Styela clava: one gene and its partners. The protein of the gene in region 2 purifies or fractionates together with the protein of the main gene of each other region. This does not show direct contact. Links are inferred from orthologs where the notes say so. Each region holds a gene or a part of one and is shown on either strand. Other genes may lie near its edges.

Region 1 (7,847 bases), on a different chromosome or scaffold from region 2:
AAAAAACGAACTGTTGAAAACAATGAACTCTATGGACTGTTTTACGGTAATTCACGCGCTCTATTCCGAACAATAGAGAAATTGTCGCGCATACCTAATGCCTAATGGATATACAGATCAGGAACATGTTAATCTACAATTTGTTTCGTGATTTGCAGGTTTTTCTCCTCATTGAGACAGACATTTTTCATTCTTCCACTAATACTAAGGTAAAGTACTTCTTTTTCTTATATATACATGGCGTTTCATTCGGCTTTCAATTTTTATAAATTAATTAATGGTAAAACTTTGAATATTCTAATTTCAAATACCTTTAAAGAGATTTATATTATTGAATATTTGTGGTTAGCATTCTTTTTCGATTAAATAGATTTCGTTATTATTAAAATGCTCTCTAAAAGTAGATTCGAGCGAGTCATACTTTTAATTATTTACAAAGCCGTCATATAGAACGGTTAAATAATAAGCTCGTTAAACAAAAATTGTATCCAAAAGCGTTATTTTTTCAAAAAAGCCCTGAGATGGCATAAACTTAAAAATGCGTTTTTTTCTTCCCGACATGGGACAAGCATATATTGACCAACTAGGTCTACAAAATCGTAACAATGCGATAAAGCGAGTATAAGCATTTTAACTTAGCGAAATACATTGAATTGAAAATATGTTTTAACCGTCCAAACCAAAATTTTCAAAATAAAAATACGCCATCCTTCTGTAATTCTACTTTACAACCTTTACCCTTTCTATAAACTTTTCTTTACTTCAATGTGTTGTCTCATTGTAGATCATATACATGTAAATATTTTTTTGACCTATATATATCATTAATTTTAGCATTGTGTATTGTATTTTTCTATATATTTTCAATTTATTAGAGGTGCCAAATCTTTAAACTTCCAGTTAGTAAGATGGGGAGATAATATAGCAACTAACCCCCAAATGTACCCCATTTCATGTTAAAAATATGAAAACAAAGTTAATTTTTCCCAAAATTCGAACAAAGACTTTCGTAGGAATCAAATTACACCAGGTTTAAGAACATAACAGGTTCCATCCAGTCATTATCAAATTAAAATCTATATTCTCAAGACCTTTGGCACTGATTGAAATAATTATATCTAAGTTCCCATCCGTACGATGTACCTAATTACCCTTGTTGAGATAATAGGAATTTCTGTTTATAACGTGAATCACGAGCTCACGTTTACAGCATTTAATTGGATTTATGATCAACGTATAAATACGACTCCGATATCTTTCGATAGGGAGAAGAGAAGACGATGTAAACCATTCTAAGCTAGTCTGGATAAATGTTATAAGATTTATATTCTGTGTGTTGTGGAAATTTACGAATAAAAACATATAGAGATTTTTAACGCATCTTCATTCACGTGGGCGTTGAAGCTGAAGGGTGAACGGGTGACTTTCAAGTTCTGAGACAATCTACGAAATAGCAATATATGATAACATCACATTCATCTACTTAACAACCCATTTATGCTATAACCCATCCAAAAAAAGAAATTCTATATTTCGCGCCAATATTAATGCCTTTCATAATATATATATACATGTTCGCCAGTTACTTTTCTGACAAATAAATATTCACTCAAAAGAGGAGATCAAGTCAAATAAATAATATATTATGTTATACACTCCAGATTATTAGATTTTCTTGTAACCTTGATATATGCCGTTATCCTTCATTCCATGCATGTAGTTTATTTTTTTAATATATTTGGGCAATAAACACCTTGTTGAAAATTTGCGATACGCATATTTTAATAATATGACATGTAGCCTACCTTACTAATAGTTGCATGTTTCTGTAGTGTAATTTGTTTGTAGTTCTGCCAGTTTGTTAAAATAAGTTCTGTGCAAGTAGCAATACTTACATCAGGATTTTTTATAATAAAATGTTTATCTCTTTGTTTTATATTTTTGGTCTTATTGGGTGTTGATTTATCGAGTGAAGTTGGATAACTTTAATCCTAACTCCGTATCTGCTGACCATATCGCCCGAGCCGAGTTATCTGAGAAACATCTGCGGAAAATTAGTTTTTCGGGAAAATGTTCATTCGTTTCGCCGCTGCGAAAGTTTGGTCCGAATTTTTGAGCATCGTTTTCTTTTAATCAAATGTTTAACGATCGCAGGTTTAAATCTCTTGGTTAGGTTAGGATCATACAACGATAAATCTCTGGACACAAAATGGCGGATGTGTCGTCGCGCAATCGCTCATAACGTTACCAATGCATGTTCTCACTTGATTTATAGTCAGGGATTCCATCGATCTGGAACCCAAAATAAGGACGACTGGAAAAATTTCTGCATTGTGAGCAGAAATAGCTGGCTTTCCTATGGGCTCCAGGTTAATGTTACAAATACAGACGTCACAGTATGCGAAGCACTCACTCTTCAAGCTTCGTTTAACTTTGAATTCTTTCCCGTATTCACGAAAAACGTTCTTACGTTTGCTCATTTTTAAATTTAGGCTAAAATATCCACCACCACGACAAAACCTAAAGATCGCCACACTAACAATGCTTCATGCCTATCTGTGCCTTGCTGCTTTGTGTTCCAAATATGATTATTTGCTTTTATGATTCCGCAATAAAGCTTTGGCGATAAGACAAACAACACAAAGCTTCCTTTATAAAGTCCAAATAAGACAAAATAAGGACACGCGAGCCAAAAATAGGGACGCAAGCTAAAAATAAGCCAAAAATAAGGACAAACCTTAGAAATAAGGATTAAGGACGGTATGGAATCCATGTTTATAGTCAATTTGGCAACGACCAAAGTGAATATCAATTAGGCAGCGATTTTGAATATCAAACGTCAAGTTTAATCTTATATCATTATCCAAATACCGTAGCCCACCATCACTAATATTTGAAAGGAATTCTGTACGACATACTAACATTTAACACAGAGGAAAACTGTTCTACTTTCCTATATATCTCAAAATACTATCATATTATACGTACAGGCCATGGTAGGATAGGATAGGATTTACATATTTATCCCGGGGGAGAGGAAATCCGCTAAGACGACTAAACCATATGGCGAACGACGGCCTCTCGTCAGGTTACCATTCCAAGTCAGGTATGGAATTAGTTATTTGTTTTCAGTTTCATGGACTTGGTGGCGGAGGAAGCCGTCTGAGCGAAAGTCGTGAGTGAGCGTCGTAAAAAGGTCACAAATCTATGAATTAGCACTTGTGTGCATTTGCGCACACGGCCATTTTCACTCTCAAGTATTGTTGTTTTGAGGGATAGATAGACATCCTGATTCTATAACATTGCAATTTAGATCTTATATCAGCATATGTCCCTGGGTCCAAACGGCGACCGTATGGGTGCGAATGAGCGCGGGTGAAAATGTCTATGTCTGAAAAACATGAAGGTTACGAAGTGACATTACAAATGTTCCAAGTGCAAATAGACAGATGCTAATGTGATGTAATGCGCGGCGGTGTGGCTCAACGGGCTAAGCGTTAGGAATACGCTCGCCACCGCACCTCTAATTACTCTGCGTGGGTTCGCAGGTTCGAATTCCATGCAAGGATGGTTATGTGCGAGAGGATTGCTGGACTCCTCGCCGTCGTTGGGTGGTTCACGTAACCGCTGGTCGGTTACGGCTTCCTCCACCACCAAGTACATGCTTCCGAAAACAAGCAATATAACTAATCCCATACCCGACTTTGAATGGTAACCGGACGAGAGGCCGTGGTTCGCCATATGGATAAGCCGTCTTATCGGCTTACCTCTCCCCCGGGATAAATATGTAAATCCTATCCTATCTATATTTAATTGTTATACTTGTGCTTCTGTTTCGGTGAGAAGGCTACCAATCGCGGTGTCGTACGGGCAGAATGACACCATAAATTATTTTATTAATTTTGACCCAGTGACTATCGGTAGCTTTTAATATAAGCATTAACATGTTTTGATTCTAGAATGTTCAATTTAAGTAGTTTCAAAGTCTAAGTCAGCAAAACGAAAACATATATGGGTTGGTTATGAACAATTGCTAATAGAGGTATCGGTAGAGGGAGCTAGGGGAATGCGAAATATATGTTTATTTCATTGAGATTCCTATCTCAGAGAGGGGGTCGGCAAGATGTAGGTTATAGGCCACACCCACTGGAACTTGGAAGTGCTATAGTGCTATATCAATATATTATGACAAATCCTCCGTGTCTGGCTTTTTGTGTCTCCAGTTCTCACGATAAATTTGGATCAGGTCGGACAAAATTAACTCTTCCTGGACCGGTACGTTAACGTACACAGGCAGACAGGTCAGTAGGCTTACCCAAAGCGTATATATAATATACACATACGTCCCGCTTTAGGCCGTTTTTTAGCGTCTTGTCCCGACAAATTAGCCAAAAGTTGGCGTTCAGCCATCCAGCATAATACAAGAACATGTTCTGGTTACTGTTGTTTCTGTGTAGCGCAGAGCTAGCCTACTTACTGCTGTACTGAGGGTGAATGCGTTTGTTCCGTTGTTTCCCCCTAACATTGTTAGAAAACGTACGGTATCGCATGTAAAACCAATACTAATTAGTCTAAATTCGAATTATTTGTACTGGCATCGGTAACGTCTATTCCTTGCTATTTTTCGAACTGAACCCGATATTTGAACAGAGAATAGGCTATGCGCATGAATTCTCGATGACAATATGGTCAATGAAGACAGCCGGGATAGCTTTAAATGTACCGGCAGACCGGTAGGCTATCCTATTAGAGTTCATTATTCATATTTTATGTTTTAGTATGAATTTAAAATCCGAAAATTGTAATTAGCATTGTATATCAATTACATTCAAAACTTGACCATGTCTGTTGATACCTCACATTTAATGGTACGTTCAAAATTAGCGTATCAAAATCAAATTTTGAACCTGAACCTCGATCCACAAATACGAATGGATGAATTATGGGTGCAAATCCGAGTTAATTGTGGATTCTCAGATGCTCAACTTTTCACTTTGAAATGGTTAGACGAGGAAGGTGATCTGTGTACAGTAACATCTCAACTGGAGTTGGATGAAGCATTAAGACTGTATGAGCTAAATGAGGATGATACTCTGTTTCTTCATATATTTCAAGGAATACCTCCTGAGCCCGGGGTTCAATGTGTGGGCGAACATAAAATTTATCGTCGTGGGGCAAGAAGATGGTACAAACTAAAGCGTAGGTTGAAGAAATTAAAAGGACGTCGTCCACGAATTCCGATTTCCAATCCTACTGATGATCCTGGTTCTGTGCATATTCAAGAGGGGGAGGCTCAAAGGGTTCATTACAATCCTGCCACTGGTACAGGTGGTGAGGCAGTGCATGCGACATCGAGGACAACGTCTGGCTTTGGTTTGAGAGATTTTGATATGTTGAGAGTTATTGGTCGAGGAAGTTATGCTAAAGTACTTCTTGTGAGTTTGAAGAAAAGTAAAAAACTTTATGCGATGAAAGTTATAAAGAAAGAGCTTGTCACTGATGAAGAAGATGTCGACTGGGTAAATGTTCAATATTTTATGTTCAAATTTTCATTAATGTGTTTATTGATATAACTAAGTAGGGTTCCAGGTTCAGCTCTTCTAACTGTTTCGAATATTCGACTAACCAGCGATGGAGCCATTACATTTTGTTGGAGCTAGAGCCAAGCTTACCTTAACAACACCAAACAACTAAAACTTCTAGCAGCTCCAGCTCCCAACCATCTAATTCTTGTTCCATACTTTTAATTTTCTTCTTTTTTTTATGTTTTTTGGTTATGATTTTTTTCAATATTTGTTTTCATAATTTTGAAACTTTTCAGTTAAAGTTGTATAATTGGAAGTTTAAAATTCGAAATTTCAAATTTTAATCTACCATACAAATTTTTGAGTCCCACTGCAGCGAAACTGCATTTGGGCTGATGTTCATGGTGAGGGTTCATGGTCACATCAAAAAAACGAGCTGTCCTGTATGTAACCCAGCTCTGAGGTAAAAAAAGATCAGGCTTCGTTGCTGTAGCTGGAGCCATTTCAAACCAACTCATTGGCCCTGTTACTATAACATTCAGATGTTCAATTCTCATTTACCAGTGATTTTTATCAAGCCTATTTTTTGAAAAATTTCTTATTCTCTATTTTTTCAGGTACAAACTGAAAAACATGTTTTTGAAACTGCTTCAAACCACCCATTTCTTGTTGGATTGCATTCATGTTTTCAAACAGCTGATCGCCTATTTTTTGTTATCGAATATGTGAATGGAGGGGACCTTATGTTTCACATGCAAAGACAGGTCAGTTATTACTTATCGATTTTAATCGGTAAGTATGTTGATAGGTATTTGTCTGTCTGTTACATGCACGCGATATCTCATGAAAGCGAGATTGAATCTGCTCCAGATTTTGCATGTGCATTCATCATATGTCGTACCAGAATCCTATTGATTTTGGATGAATTATGTGGTATAATTAGCGAGTTTAATTAATTATTTAGTGATGAGACACAAGGTGTCACTATGGAGTAAGAGCGCTGTTTTGGGGGATCCCCTAACTTTCAAGCGATAAGTCTTCGGTCTCTGACTGATATTCTCGTTAACGTGTTTATTTAATATATCAAAAGTAGTACAATATTGTTAAGTTTGTTCAAAGTGGTGTTATTGTTTTCTTTTACTTCTATGCATCATGCAGTTGAATTTAGTTCTAAAAGACATTGATTTTTGATGGTGTTTCATGGTTTTTATCAGACTGTAGATGAAATCTGTTCTAAAGCCACACTAGATCTTTCTTTCTAACTGATAATAAATAAATACTCAATTTATTAATCTTGGATGTATCTTTGCAAGTTATTTAACATATCTTTGCTTCCTAATGATTGGTGTAACCTAGCATTATGTGCCATGGAATTGATAAGACTGGATAATTTATTTTGAATTCTGCCACTGCTCGAAATAAACACCCAGCTATACGCGATTCAAGAGTCCCGGTGCACACAAATGTATTTCTGTAAGGATTCGTCCGACTAAAATTAGACTTTCTCATACAAGCAGTTTACAACAATGACAAGAAAAGAACAATCATGCGGTTTCAAACACACAGGATGGCAATTTGAATAAGTTTCCAAAACTCGAAATAAGATTTAAACGAGCGACTCATTTATAAATGATAGCTGATAGGCTTCACTTGAATGTTTATAAAACATTTTTATATTTCAGAGAAAACTTCCAGAAGATCATGCTCGTTTCTATGCTGCAGAAATAGTGCTTGCATTACATTTCTTGCACGAAAAAGGCATTATTTATAGAGATCTAAAACTTGATAATGTTCTTCTTGATAGCGAAGGTCACATAAAACTGACAGATTATGGCATGTGTAAAGAAGGAATTTTGAAAGGTACATTTACGATAATTTCTCTCACTATTTATTCTTGCTTGTCTACAAATCATGTTTAACAGGATTTTTAAGTGTATACTTTTTATAGGTGACAAGACGTCTACCTTTTGTGGTACTCCAAATTACATTGCTCCCGAGATCCTTCGGGGAGAAGACTATTCATTCTCGGTTGATTGGTGGGCACTTGGAGTACTCATGTTTGAAATGATGGCAGGAAGAAGTCCATTTGATATTGTTGGTATGGCAGATAACCCTGATCAAAACACTGAAGATTATTTGTTCCAGGTCAGATTTTCTCATACTATAATATGCGAGTGAAAGTTATTACAATCCTAATGTATGTCTATGCTTCATTTCTGAGCTCTTTCGCCCGTATATAATATAATGCATCCCCAGAATCCAGATATTGCTTAGTAAAATGTTTACAATTACAGGCACTTTGTGGTATGTCAACTAAAATTT
Region 2 (7,083 bases):
CCTAGTAAACAGTTATAAATTTTGTAAATGTAAGTTCATTAGACAGTATCCACCTCAATGAAATTGGTACAATCTGTACATATATGAACAAGAAGAACGAAATTAAGCTAGACGATGATTTGAATACCTGATTCTAAATTAACTGACTTTATTAAATTGGAATTGAAAATAGGCAGAAATCCAATCCAATTAGACCGGGCAGCAAAAATACTGAAATTTGCGATAACAAAAAACAAGAAAAAGGGTATAAATGCAATACAGGTAAAAGTATAATTATCCAATTCAAGAGTCTTGCTGCACACTAACACGAATGTATTTCTGTAACGTTTCGTCTGACCAAGGTCAGACTTCCTCTGACAAGCATTATTCAACTACGATAAGAAACGCGATGAAATGTACATAAATAATGGTTAGCAATTTCTGGGTTAGTTAGTTTTCAATAGAGAGAAATGAAATTGGGGACAGAGGAAGCATGGAAAGGTAGTTAACCCAACTGATAAACCAAATAGTTCAAGTATTCTGTTTTTTCTTATGGCCATGAATATGACTATACTTGATTGACATATCTCACTAAGGGCTTTGGAATCGAGGAAAATTTACACCAGACCCCGAGCTATACTCTGGCTCCAAGACACAACTTGATAAAATTTAAACATAAATTCAAGAATTTTGATAACTCCATCTCCTAACTCGAAGAAAAATTTCGATAAAAAAGTGAGGTTTCGGCTTCTCAGCTACAACCATTATGCTAGTAGAAACATTTTAAATTCGACTTCAGTCTCCAAATGTCAGGTGATTAACAATGCCTTTTCAAAGTGGCCATTACATATACGAAACCATAGACCAAATTCAAACCATAACCTACCTCTCCTGTAAGGAAATGCAACTGAACAACTTGATTGGTGTCATCATGAAGTCCTGTAAATTCAACTCCTGGTGCTCCATATCTGAGATGTTAAGAATATGATTTTGAATAGATACAGAAATTTGGAAATCAAAATACAAAGGAATATTTTCGTACTAAATGTGAGTTTTTCTTTTGCTATCACAGTTCATCAGATGTAACCATGTGACAAGAGGATATACAGGGTAGAAATGTCCATGTTATTTCGAAATACCAAATTTATGTGTGTACCAATATGGAGGTAACTAATTACGTTCACCTACTTTATATCAAGTTGTGTAAAGGGACTGAAAACCTATGGACAGGAGGTACTTGGCTTACACAGACAGTCCCCAAACTTGTATTATAACTAAAATAAGGAAAATCGGCATGAAATTATGGCCTAACCCTAACTTTGTACACATACTACGGGAGTACCAAATTGACTCATGATAAAATCAGGTAAAATAATATGGCTGTTGAATCCTCCACCCAAGCCACTTAGTGATCACTTGAAACTAAACTTATAAAATAAGTTTGAAGGTAGTGATGTCTAGAACGAATCAAGTACACAGGTATTCAAAAATTTGAGTAGTCAAATTTAAATTTCTAAAAACTGCAAAAAGGCAAGTAATCAAATTACTTTCCTGCAAAAACAGTTACAACACATTGAATATTCATTTGATTTCTATCTGCCACTTGGTGGACATGGCCAAATACAGAATGTTTCATACTTGTATATAATTTTGGGTGCTCCCGAAGTATGCGAACCAAGATGGCGGACATCGGAACGTAACATGGGTAACAGGTTAGGGTTAGGCGATAATTTTTTTCCAATTTCTCTTATTTTAGTCCTATTATCAGTTCAAAGACTAGCCAAGAGCCTCTCGTAGTATTTATACCTAAAATTATGGCCTAACCCTAACCTAGTACACATATTACATTCCGATGTCCGCCATCTTGGTTCGCATGCTTCGGGAGCCCCTAATTTTGTAATAGATAAGGAATGATAGAATATTCAGTTCTGGCCACCCCTAGTCTATCTTTGTAATAAAAAACTTACATTTTAATTGAACCGTTTTTCAATCCAATGGCCATTAATTTTAACTTCCTATCGAATGCCAGAGCACTAGGTTGGTTTGGGAATCCATGCTCAGCCGTCTGGAAAATAATTCAAAATTACAGGTTATCAAACATCACTCAATGTAATATAATGTAAGGCTATAGTGACACGGAACACTGATTTAATCCTACTTTGGTAGCTTCTAGGGGTTCTGTTAATTTGAGTCACATAATAAAACTATCTTCTGACAAATTTTAATACAAAACATGCTCATCGATAAAAAAAATTCAACATTTGTACATTAAATAATTTTAATTCAGAAATAACATCATATTTTTTAATTAATATAAACCATGACTGTATTATTGAATCGCCAAATTTTAACAGAAAACAGTACTTTCTTCAACCTCTTTAGCTATCAAATGTTTAATGTTTGAAAAAGTGGAATAGCATTTCAACATTATATTAGCAAATGGATACTTATATCTTAACAGTTTGGAAGAATCAAACTGTTTAATTTCTTTTACGAATTTTAACAGAATCATGAAATTTATTAACTTTCCGGAAACATCATTGGTTTCAAATTCAATTCTAGCTGAATTTTTGAGTCAGCAGGGTTTTTAATCCACGGCCAAATTTTGCCCAACTAGACTGGTGAAATGAAAAGTTACATTTTATGAACAATATTTACAGCATTACAACAGCAAAAGTGGAAAACAATAGGCCTTGTGCAAAAACTAAATTTAATCGCAATCTCAACAAATTCCTCGAGCTACTTTTCAGTTTACATATCAAAATTTAGTTTAGTTTGGTTGTGGCAGCATCAGGCAGGCCAGAATTATTTACCCAACAAGCCAGAATTGGGTCACAGGTCATAATTTGCCTATGTCAGGTGTATCCTAAACTAACATAGTATGCATAGAGATACCTTTTTGAATTCAAACAGCTCATCTTTTATTTTTTCTCTTTGTGGATCGTGATGATGACCTTTCTTCCATTTCTTAAACATGATGAAGAATGACAAAATGAAATGAACTTGGATAAATAACTTTTTCTTACTTAATTTAGATAAAAACTGAACAAAACAGAGTCTGAAAATATTTCAAAAAATTCAAATTGAAGAATTAACAAATGAAACTGACATTAAAACCACTGAAACCCAAAATGAGTATAAAAAAATTCAAAACATTTCATTCCAATCAGAAAAACTCTCAAAATATTTATTGCTGCTCTAAAGTGAGTATTGGCAGATTGGAGTGATAACAGTCAGACAGTTGTAACAGGCAAGAGATATTTCTATAATACAGTACGGCACACTATCCAAATTCCAATAATTTTCCTCCATTTGGTTCAATAAAATAAACACTCAATGCGTCTCACAAACGAGGGTCGTCTGGCACCACGTCAGATGCATCATATCGCGCCATGCTTGTCTCAATAATAATCTAAATTAATCACGGCCGTCACATAACCAAAATTGCCGTTTTTTGCTCTCGAATGCCACGATAAAATTGTTTTTCTTCAGTAAATCGGATCATTTTTTTTCTAGGAATTTAATGATGACGTTATTAGATTGCGCTTCTTTGTAGTATTTTCCGCAACTTCATTTTACTGTATTTTTACCGATATTGAGGGACAACAATGTTCAGACGTCTCCCAAAGGATGGGTGTCTGACAATTGGTAAAATGGCTTTCTCTGAAACGAGACAATGTCACCCGATCTGTATAGTGTGCCGTACTGTAATATTAGGTGTCAAATCTATCTGTTTTCTGAAAATGAAATTCAATATAGCTCAAAGATAAACAAGTAAAAATTATCATTATGGAGGAAAACATTTTTGTTTGGCGCTATTGAAGCACTTATACAGTCATAGCATTCATCTCCACACCACATTTGTGTTTGTGGGTATTCAAGCATTTACAGCGTTTACTTTACAAGACCCGAGATCGCTGCCGTTAGTGAGTCCTTCACCGTCGGGCAAATGCCATTTCGGGGGGCCGTTGGTATACCGTACTTTGGCAAGCTCTATGACAGTATAACGTGATTGTGACGTCGTAGTGCAGTAGTGACATAATTTTTAAATGGCATAGTCAGGTGGGGGTTGTATGTATGTATGTTTATTCGTCTCGTAATAGTGGTACATAAATAAATGATGAATTATTTTTATAGGGTTAGGATCACTAAGTGCAAAAATCGTTATGCTACTTCGACCAGAGTACTGTACAGTACCATTCTTTAAGACTTTAGGTACCGGTACAAAACTACAAAAAATCCAAAAATTTCACATCACATTTTGGGGTCCAGTGAAGTAAACCTTGTAACTGCTTGAATAATGCGTATAACAAGAATGTGATGTAAAATGAACGCCGTAACTGCTCAAATAACACCCAACAATAATGTGATGTGAAATTTTAATGTAAGAAGATCGAAATTAAAACCTTGTCTCAAAACGTCGTCGTTGAATATGCGCAAAGGTGGATCGTCCATTTTGAACTTGACCCATCCGTCCTCCACAAGTAATTCCAGTTGGCATAGCATACCGAATTTTACATAAGTTATTCCTAACCACCACCTGACTATGTCATCCATATAAATTACGTCACTTAGACGTCACGTCACCATCACGTCATATGGCTTGCCAAAGTATAAATTACGATCGCCCGAAATGGCATCTGCGCTGCCGATAACGAACTCGCTAAAGCCGGCGATCTCACTCCTATCGTGATCGTTGTGAAGATAAAACGAGAAAAATAGCTTGCTCGATTTCGGATGATCGTCTGCGTGTTGTGTACGACCGTCCGCATACTTTGGTGGGCCTTATAACGCCACTGTGACGTCGAAATGACGAAATTTTTCGGTGACGTTGTCAGGTGGGGGTCAGGATTGACATATGCAAAAATTGTTGAACCAGGCCAACTAGAAGTGCATGTGGTACTGTACTATACCAGACCCTCGAGTTGTCCGCCTCCCGTTTGTCCCATGCGTTTAGGGGTTTTGTGTTCGCGAAAGAAGGACTTTTATTTTTAGAAAAAAAATGAAAATTTGGGTTGTATTTTCACATCACATTTTGTTTGGCGTTACCTAAGCACTTACGGTACTGCGTTTATTTCACGAGACCCCATTTTTGCTGGGGTTATTTCAGTATTTTAAAATGCTACGCTGTTTACCTGCAGACTTGGCTACACTCAGATATTTTTTTAATTTATCTCCCCCTAAATAAAAGCAAATCTTTTACCGTACCCTATAAATCTGGAAATGTAAAATCTGTAAAATATCTGAAATCGTTGAACGAAGCATTATTCTGTTACCGTAATTGTTCGTCTTCAGATTTTATCTAGACTCGGGCATTAATTTCAAATAGTTATTATTGCAAAGTAATGGTATCAGTTACTTATAATCCAAAAAAATGCCTACTATGTACCGAACGTAACTCCCTCTGTGAACGTCTAAACGTTGTACACATCATACACTTCTGCCAGGAGCCTTCGGCGAGAAGCGGCGCGGGCGTCTATCGTCGGTTTGCGTACTCATCACGCAACGATTACTCAAGCGTAACGACGTAAATGACGCCGGTCATCAAAGTACTTCACTAATAGAGAGAGAGAGAGAGAGAGAGAGAGAGAGAGATTTATTATTTGTGCATTATCGTATTTCAAGCACGCTCAAAAATACCTTCTTACAAGCCCATACAATGTAGTATACAATTTCCCAAAACTTTACGGCAGTTCCGATAAAAATATTTTTAGTTTATCATGAAGAATTTTACCTACTTAAACCTGGAACCTAACCCCAAATCCACCAAAACTGTATCCATAAGAAAAATGTTCCAGCTTACCCAATATTTGTCACTATCAAGAAGAGCCCTGCCATACGGCCACACCTCAATGGTTACGGCCATTGAGGTGTTATATACATCTCAATGGTTACGGCAGCAAAGTACCGGCATCTCGCCGGTATCATCAAAAAGTCAGTCGCTGTGGTATGACCATAGCGGTTTGGAAATTACGTCATGGTTTTGCGGCAGCTTCAGACGCCACAAAACTTCCCAAAACTGCACTTAGACAAACGAGCTGTCCACCATTCGAGCGAAGTAATTGAAGTGAAGATAAAACGTCACAGATTACGTGGTCGACAGCTCATTTAATTCTGAGACGGATTGTTTAAAATTCCCTCTAGTCTCAGATGAAGCGCTTCAAAGGGAGGGACCATTGGCTTATGCAAAAGCAATGTCAATGGAAAAATACTCTATGTCCAACGAGCTGCGCTAAGGATAATGTCAGAGTTTGAGTCAACATATGTCTACGGATATATATGTGTTTTCTACCTCAAAAGACGTGAAATCAAAGCATTGATCTGTTCTGACTGACTCCCATGTCAAAAAACTGCTTCGATTGGTTACAGCGACATACTAGCCAAATTTAAAGAGCATTGTTCAATCAAAGGAATGCCAGAAGTCCCACTAAGTAGCATGCATACCAATAAATGGCTTGTAAATTTTTGTCATTAGCATGTCGGTTTGTAACATTTACAATCAACTAGCAGAGCCGAATAAAGGTAGGCTATATTTGATGTTTATGTGTGTTCTTGTTTATATAGCGGCTCTTCGCGGTAATAAAGTACCAAATGCGGCTCCTAGTTTTGACTTGTTGGCCACCAATGGCTAAGCGTAACGGCCGCTCCCGAAGTATGTGTACCAAGATGGCGCACAACCTGAACCCTAACCTGGTACACATACCATGTTCAGGCTGTGCGTCATCTTGGTGCACATACTTCTGGAGGTGCAAAAACTAATGTAACATGAGTGAAAAGGCCTTCGAATCCGGGAAACACCTGCTAGACTATTGCACTTGCGATTACATTACTGCCCAGAATTTTCTTTCAAAACTCCCGACACCGGAACTCTCTTTCCTGTAAATACGAACCATTAAAATATTAGTCGAACTAAGTGATGACCGCGATATCCTGTTATTGAACCGATTCCATTCTAGTACTTTCGACTTCATTTTACTAACAAATGTGAAACTATCATATTTCATATATACATGATTTAAACCTGACATGGGCAAACTACGGCCCGCGGGCCAAATTCGGTCCGTTGGGCAATTCAATCTGGCCTGCCTGATTCTGACACAATCA
Region 3 (7,600 bases), on a different chromosome or scaffold from region 2:
GATTTTCCTTCTTTTAGTTCTATTACGAGTTTGGGGACTGTCTGTGCTAGCCAAGCGAATATTCCCCCTGCCCATAGGTTTCAGTCCCTGGATGTAAAGTAGGCCAACAAAATTAGTTACCCCCATATTGGTACACATACTTCTGGAATCTGGAGCACCCATTACTTTATAAAAGATGGATGTCATTTAGAAAACTCAATTAAGAGACCTGATCACATGCTTATACAACACACATGTGCAACTATCATGTGAAACTTGCTTATAAAGGTCACACAGAATTATAATAATGTAATACTATTAAATCACTACGCAATCCTATTTACTTAATGCAATTTTCCAATTTGTTTGAAAAATAAAATGCTAATGACTGAGGTAGATAACAAACGGCTAATTAGGTTTGAATTACTTTTTTTTGTAATCACTAATAATGATAAATAATTTTTAGCTAATGTGGAATTATACATTTTACCACTCTCAATAATCTTGCATTAATGATGATTCATGTTGAGGGAGTCAATATTTAGAAATATACTTCAAATTTGACATGAAAGCTTTTTTTCCAAAATATACCGGTACTTGAAATTTGATTATGAAATTTTTTGTCTCAACGCTTAATCTAAATTTTAATCAATTAATCTTTAGCCAAACTATTATTATAATTTCCATGATTAAAATGGAATAAAAGAAGAAAAACCGAATGAAACAACATAACAAAATTATGAAAGGTAATTATAACCAAAAAATTTGATATTTAATTTTGAAGTACAATTTTGACAACAACAGATCTGGATACTCCCATAGTATGTGTACCAGGTTGGGGTTAGGCTATAATTTTATTCCGATTTTTCTTTTATTAGTTCGATTACGAGTTCGGGGACGGTTTGTGTTAGCCAAGTGAATATACCCCTTACCATAAGTTTCAGTCCCTTTACACAACTTGATGTAAAGTAGGCGAACAAAATTAGTTACCTCCATATTGGTACACATACTTCTGGAGCGCCAGATCTGAGCAGCAAATCTAGCATGAGCAGGGGTTGAAATAGAGCTCATAAACCGAGATTTGAGGAACTCCTATTTGCTTAAATTGAGTGATATATTTTGATAATTAAGTAAAATTGGTAGAATAAAATATTGGCCAAAACGTCTATAGAGGAATAACAACACTTTGAATAGATAATTCAGCACCTACAAAACAATATAATAAAGTGGAATTCCATATTTGTCAAGATAATTGAAAAAAAAACTACAAATAATTTAAAGAGAAAAAACGCACTCTTATGGATTTATCAACTGTGGAATGGGAAGCAACAAAGATTTAAAAGAGTCCACACACGACGCTACACGATTGTATCAATTCTTCAAAATCATTTCGTATTGTCCATTATTTACTATTTATTGGGTTTCTGTGGGACCAACTACTCATCTTCCTCCTAATCCTAATGCTGTAGTAAGAGTGAAGACAACTTCAAATTGTAATATTTGGTTGAGGATAATCGCGAATACTCAGTTTATGCAATTATTTTCAAGCTGATAATACATCTTGATGATTTTTTAAGTCAACCTCAAATGTTCAATCACACAACGCATGATACAATCTGCATCCTAATTGCGAGCACACTGGGCTTATAGTTAATAATTTGCTGGGAATGTACCGTGAGAAAAACTATTTTTCAGTGAAATTCGAATTTTTGAAAAAGCCAATCAATTAATTTTTATGATTGATCAAAAATTAGGTTTTTTGTAATTATTCCCACACATATATGTAACCAATAAATTACTGGTATAAGTAAGTGAATCCGTGCTACCTATGGATTATAATCATAATAAACATAATAAAATGGAAAAATTGCAAAAAGCCGTTTTGGCAAAACATTTACCCAAAATAACATGGGATGATACGGCGATGCAAATACCTACAATGTCAGATCATTTTGAGTGTTAATTTGGCTTCTACGTTTAGCCTTTACTGAGTCTCTACCATGTTTGTGCCCAACTCTCGGCGACTTTTTTGGAGACGGTTGCGTAGAATTTGAAGCTTCAGTTTTATTAGGTACAGATTGAGGAGAAGAGTGCTCTTTGCCTTGTTGGGTCGTATTTATTGAATAAATCTTTTCGTTTTGATGTCGTGCACTGTTGCTTTTTGGTTTTTGGTCATGCTTCGATGCAGGAGTGATATCTTTTACAACATCCTGATCATCGTCGGATTCTTCTTCATGCCTATGTCGTGGAATATCGTCGTAAGAACGAGCCCGAGAAGGCGGCTTTATCCCTGCGACTGCATTTCTCATACTTGCAGGCTTGACGGTGATAATCAAATTAGAACTATTCGCCACCATCATGTCTGTGACCTGATCTAACGTTTTCCCCATCACTTCGATGCTGTTTACTTCTAAGACTTCATCATTGACTGCTAATAAACCAGTCATTTCTGCCAGACCACCTTGTACTAATCTAGATATAAAAATTCCAGGCACTTTTTCAAGTCCGTTATTCGTCATACGTAAGCTCACACCGTCGCGGATATAAAACCCTAATGGCTTGTCTGAACCATGCTTATGAAGCCTCACCCGACGTAAGGTTTCTGGTAGAATATCCACATCGATGATTGCGGAAACCGGACGAAAATCTTCTGGATAACTTATAATTGGTGGTAATTTTTTTCCTTTCTTTTTTCTAACAGTTGATTGGCCAAAACCATTTTGTAAGTTAAAAGTCTCTCGTTTGTGAATATACAGTCTTAGCAAAGTATTTGACGTTTTTTTCGCTTTTGCAAAATTTTCATCGTTATTTATTGGCAACAAATCACCATGAAGTGGGTCGGTGTAAGTCACAATAAAATCGACGTGATGAATTTGATGAAGTGATTCGATTCTTTGATGTAAATCTTGAAATTTGTCTTGTTCTGGATCAAGATGAAATCGTCGAAATTCAGCTAGAAATTTGCTTTTTACTTGAATTAAATTCCCAGCTGGAGAAGACCCAGCAGAGCCTAAGGATGATTTATCCATTTCATTAATTATTAGTTTAACTTTGTACACAAAAATGTCACAACATGTTGGTAGATGTCTGAAACACAATTAAACATAAAATTTACCAAGTGAGAACCAGTAGACTGTACACAAGATAAAAAAAAGAGTCCACTTTAATAAAATTTGATGTCATCCTAACCCAGGGAATAACGATTTAACCGTTGACTGAAACTCAATTGGGTATAAACTTGGCCACAACTTAATAAACATACGAAATAATAGTATAATTTGATATCTGAATCAAAGCTACTAATCATAAAATTTAAGTTAGAAGCAGATTAGACAACTGCTTGAATATTGCGAAACAAAAATATGATATAAAAATACAGCCAAATTTTTTTAGTCATTCTCAAAGTCTGTCTCGCCCAGAACGCTATAGACGGTGACCGTACATTTGAACCCATGTACATTTGAACCCATGCGTATATCCACGGGTTCAATCTATATGCGGGTGCTAAAACCCATGGGTTAGGGTTAGTATGGGTTTAACTATCCGTGAAACAAAAAAAATTTCATAGGTGAAATAGCATACAGGTGCAATTGTCATGGGTTCAAATGTACGTGGGTTCAAATGTAATGGAACCCTATAGACTACCCTATTTGGCATGAGTCATAACTGCTCAGTTGAATATTGGGTAGGTTTGATTTCAACTAAACGAATTGCCTTCCGCGCCAAACCAACTTTTTTTAGAAAAACATTACTTCAGTACTTCGTCCTTTTATTAATTAATTCAGTATTTTTACAACTTTTAACGTTGTTATTGAATATGCACATAAATATTGAATGTTATCGTGTTATTGCGTAAAATCCTAAATTATTTTTTATATTTTTTGCTGGCTAAAGACTTAGCGAACATGTTTGGTTATTTTTCTTTTCAAAATTCACAAAAGGTCATTATTATCATGGTTTACAGTCTCAAACTATAACCAGCGTACATCAGCAGCCTATCAGTACAGCACTACAGCAGTATAAAAATCTTGGGTCTCTTGTAGTTTTGTACCTATATCGTTTTTCTAGTGGACGTAGCGTAACTATTTTTTGATATGTCAATCCTAACCCCCATCTGACTACGTCGTCTAAAATTACGTCACCACGACGTCACAATCTTATCATAAAGCTTGCAGAATAGACGTACAATCGCCCGAAATGGCATCAACGCCGCTGATAAAAAGCTGACTAACATCATCATTCTCTCTCATATTGGGATCATGGTCGCGACAAGAAAACGAGAGAAATAGCTGTTCGATTTCGGATGCTCGTCTGCCGTTCTTAGATGACTGTTCGTATAATTCATTAATTTTTGGATGGTGTAGTTGATGGGTTAGGATTGACACGTGCAAAATTTGTTATATTACGCCCATTATAAGTACGTTAGGTACGAAACTAGCTGAGACCCAAAATCTTAATCTCAGACAGAAAGTTGAAATATCTAACTTCGGGTCTGGCGAAATGAACGACATGACTCCTTAAACAGTTAAATAACATCAAAAAATGGGATTGCTTGAAACTTGCTGCTGAAAAACTGCTTGAATAACGTCAAACAGAAATGTGATATGAGATTTTTATGATTTCTAAAAAAAATCTGTCTGGCACAAAATGAAATTTTTGACAGACGTGCTTCGTTAAAATCAAACCCACTCAATTTTCAAATACTGAACTAAGCACAGAACAGCAGAAGCAGGTACCGGTATGTTCCAATGCCAAATTCAGAAATAGGGTTAGCCGCTAGAGACCGACTTTCTGACTTTTGATACCGTTCTGGTATTTGGAATAAAATGAAAATTTGGGCATTATTTTCACATCATACTTTTGTTTGACGTTATTTGGGAGTTACGGTGTGTCCTTCTTCATATACATACCCCTAGTTACCGGTACGGTGTGTTCTTCTTTCAGTCTTTAGATCCCAACTAACAACTTCAACTAACGAAGAGCAAAGAGAGAATTCGAGAGATATTTCCGAACAGTTTTCTCTATATCCTGATATCTGTATATAGACCTATCCCTATCCTTATACAGGGTACATGAAACTAAAAAAATCGCACCAAAAAAGCGGGACCCGAGACGTATTGTTACCCCAAAAATGCAGCCCACTGAGTAAACCCCACCTTTTCGCACATCGCCATCTAGTGAAAATGTGGGTGTGTCATGCTCCGGTGACTAAAGAGTGGTGTATTGAATATCATCTCGAATGTGATGACGAAAAAGAAAGAAAAGCCTATTTTCATGATTATAATGTGATAAGACTGTTCAAAGTATGATGCATTCATACAAAGACTTTGGTAACGGTTGTCTATGCGAAATACCATACCTGCATACGGTGACAATATCGATATCGAATATTTATGATGACGGTTGAGATAAAACTACAACTACTAGTATTGAAAAGAAGAAAAATAGGCACTTTTCATATTTATTCTATCGTGTCCCAGTTTTATTTCAGTTTTGTTCCGAAAAGTAACACCAGCGCTTATTTTCGGTTGATGTCTCATATTTTCAGTTATCAAAAACAAAATTACAACATAGAAAGTTACGAGATTTTCAAATATACAAAATATGAAAACCGAAATACATTTACCCATAAATACCAAGTTTTTATTCGGAATAGCTGCAAACCATATTTTATGAATTATTTAAAACGTGAAGGAGAGATTTAACTGCTATCGACTTATATGCATGATTTTATTTTCGGGGTAGATCTTATTTTCGGGGAAACACGTATATATAAAGGGAGGAAAGTTTATTTTATGGGGAAAATGCCGGGAGTACAACTGAGTCGTTATATCTACTATATTATTAATAAAAGTTCTCGTATTTTGGAACATACTGAAAATTGAAGCTCTGTAGGACGGGCGTCTCTGCGGTTCAGAAATTTGTGAGAAATTCTTCCACGGGAGGGAGATAAATATTCGTTTTCAAAACGAAGAAAATCGCCAACTCGGGTAATTCTAGATTTAAATCACAAAATTCCAAAAACGTTGAAACGCTATATATAACGAATTACCACTGACAATTTGCCGTTTGGAATACCATTGCAGGTGGAATAAATTTCTTTGAATATCAAGTTGTTAGATACATTTTTTTTGAATTAAATACCAGGCCGTCCAGTTATTTCTCTACCATTACCTCCTCACTTGGATGGTCCCCGCACTCGTAATATAACTAAAATTGGAATGAAATTATGGCCTAACCCTAACTTGGTACATATTCTATGTTCCGATGTCCGCCATCTTGGTTCACATACTGGAGCGCCATTTTTTATCACTAATATCAAAATATCTACCTAGATCTCCCCCTAGATTTGGAATCCCTACCCCAACCCCCTAAAATGAAAATCTGGGGGAGCATACTGGTTACGTCGAGTGAGGCTTCACACCACACACCTTTCTGCATTCAGAGTTTTATATCCGCGATGGCGTGGGCGAATGAGTTTACGATACGTTAAATAACAGACTTGAAAAAAGGCTTGGAATTTTTATATCTGGATTCGTACAAGGTGGCCTCGCAGAAATTTGGTACATATGATTTAAATAAATAATATTTAATCATCTTTTGTCCAATCCTCCGCTAAAAAGTAAGATCATGTTCTCTCATTATCTTAATCACGGACAATCGACTCGTAAAAAATGTAAAGTTATTGCACAGGACCTCCTGAAGTATACGCACCAAGATGGCGCACAACCTGAACTCACGACACGGTTATGCGACATCTTGGCGCGCATACTTCAGGAGTACCCAATTATCGCTAGCCGGTGGGAATGGAAATATCCAGTCAAAGGACCATAGAACCTATTATCCTATCATATAGGCGGGTGAATCGTGTTATTATGTGAAGTCGTGATTGCCACGTTTGGCTGTCAATCTAGACACCTGTTGGTCATTATAGCGAGGAAGTTCCATGTAATAGCTTACACCCTCTACTTCTAGCAAGTCTGTGCGGAAACCTGAGAATATGGTCTGTTGCAAAATTTCTAAGGACACAACACGGTAACAGGAAATAAGGATATTCGACAACCGCCATATTTTTCTGTGTACACAAGAGAAGATAACTTTCAATTGCTTCAGCTATCTGTATCCAATATGAACCAAATTCCCAAAATCAATTGTCGCTTTCAATTTGTTTTTCCACGTACCCGAAAGTAAATAAAGGAGGGTGAAATGGATAAATCTATATGAAACTTATGCGTGTTTACTTTAAGTGGTATTTAAAACAACAACTACAGAACACACCAGTCTCCTCTCAATCAAACACAACCAAATACTATATGAAGTAACATTTACACGATAAAAAGTTTATTGCGGTTAAAAATGTTCAACCTTTGAATTCATTACCGCAAATTACTCTGAATAATATAAGTGATTTCATGTTTGTGTTCACAAATCTCTTATTCACAGGCTGCTCGAACTTGATGCTATTCTTCATTAAGCCTTTTTCTCTGCAAGAAAAAAAAATAGTTTTAGTTACAACAGCATATAAAATTTCCTTGCTATGATCAGTTTAGCTTTGACATATGACGAATTAAGCATAAAAGTAAAGCCTTCTTACTCAATTTTATTAGATGTTTTATACTTT

The links. Proteins that work in one complex are often made in the same cells at the same time.
Region 1: the proteins of lethal(2) giant larvae protein homolog 1-like (region 2) and protein kinase C iota type-like purify together in Drosophila melanogaster (affinity purification with western blotting; 6 studies listed by BioGRID, with this or other methods). This does not show direct contact. The link is inferred for Styela clava from reciprocal best matches to the Drosophila melanogaster genes l(2)gl and aPKC.
Region 3: the proteins of lethal(2) giant larvae protein homolog 1-like (region 2) and partitioning defective 6 homolog beta-like purify together in Drosophila melanogaster (affinity purification with western blotting; 5 studies listed by BioGRID, with this or other methods). This does not show direct contact. The link is inferred for Styela clava from reciprocal best matches to the Drosophila melanogaster genes l(2)gl and par-6.

Annotation. Positions count from the first base shown.
Region 1 is NC_135257.1:16,668,563-16,676,409, reverse strand, and holds the start of protein kinase C iota type-like, read left to right. Parts: upstream 1-4,763; 5' UTR 4,764-4,841; coding exon 4,842-5,519; intron 5,520-6,142; coding exon 6,143-6,289; intron 6,290-7,207; coding exon 7,208-7,385; intron 7,386-7,473; coding exon 7,474-7,670; intron 7,671-7,847. UniProt on the Drosophila melanogaster protein: Serine/threonine protein kinase which is required for apico-basal cell polarity in the germ line as well as in epithelial and neural precursor cells, for epithelial planar cell polarity and for cell proliferation.
Region 2 is NC_135262.1:4,227,944-4,235,026, reverse strand, and holds the start of lethal(2) giant larvae protein homolog 1-like, read right to left. Parts: upstream 3,060-7,083; 5' UTR 2,956-3,059; coding exon 2,875-2,955; intron 2,045-2,874; coding exon 1,947-2,044; intron 948-1,946; coding exon 866-947; intron 1-865. UniProt on the Drosophila melanogaster protein: Essential for the development of polarized epithelia, for cell polarity associated with asymmetric cell division of neuroblasts during development, and for oocyte polarity formation.
Region 3 is NC_135250.1:4,770,463-4,778,062, reverse strand, and holds the start of partitioning defective 6 homolog beta-like, read right to left. Parts: upstream 3,085-7,600; 5' UTR 3,009-3,084; coding exon 1,914-3,008; 3' UTR 1-1,913.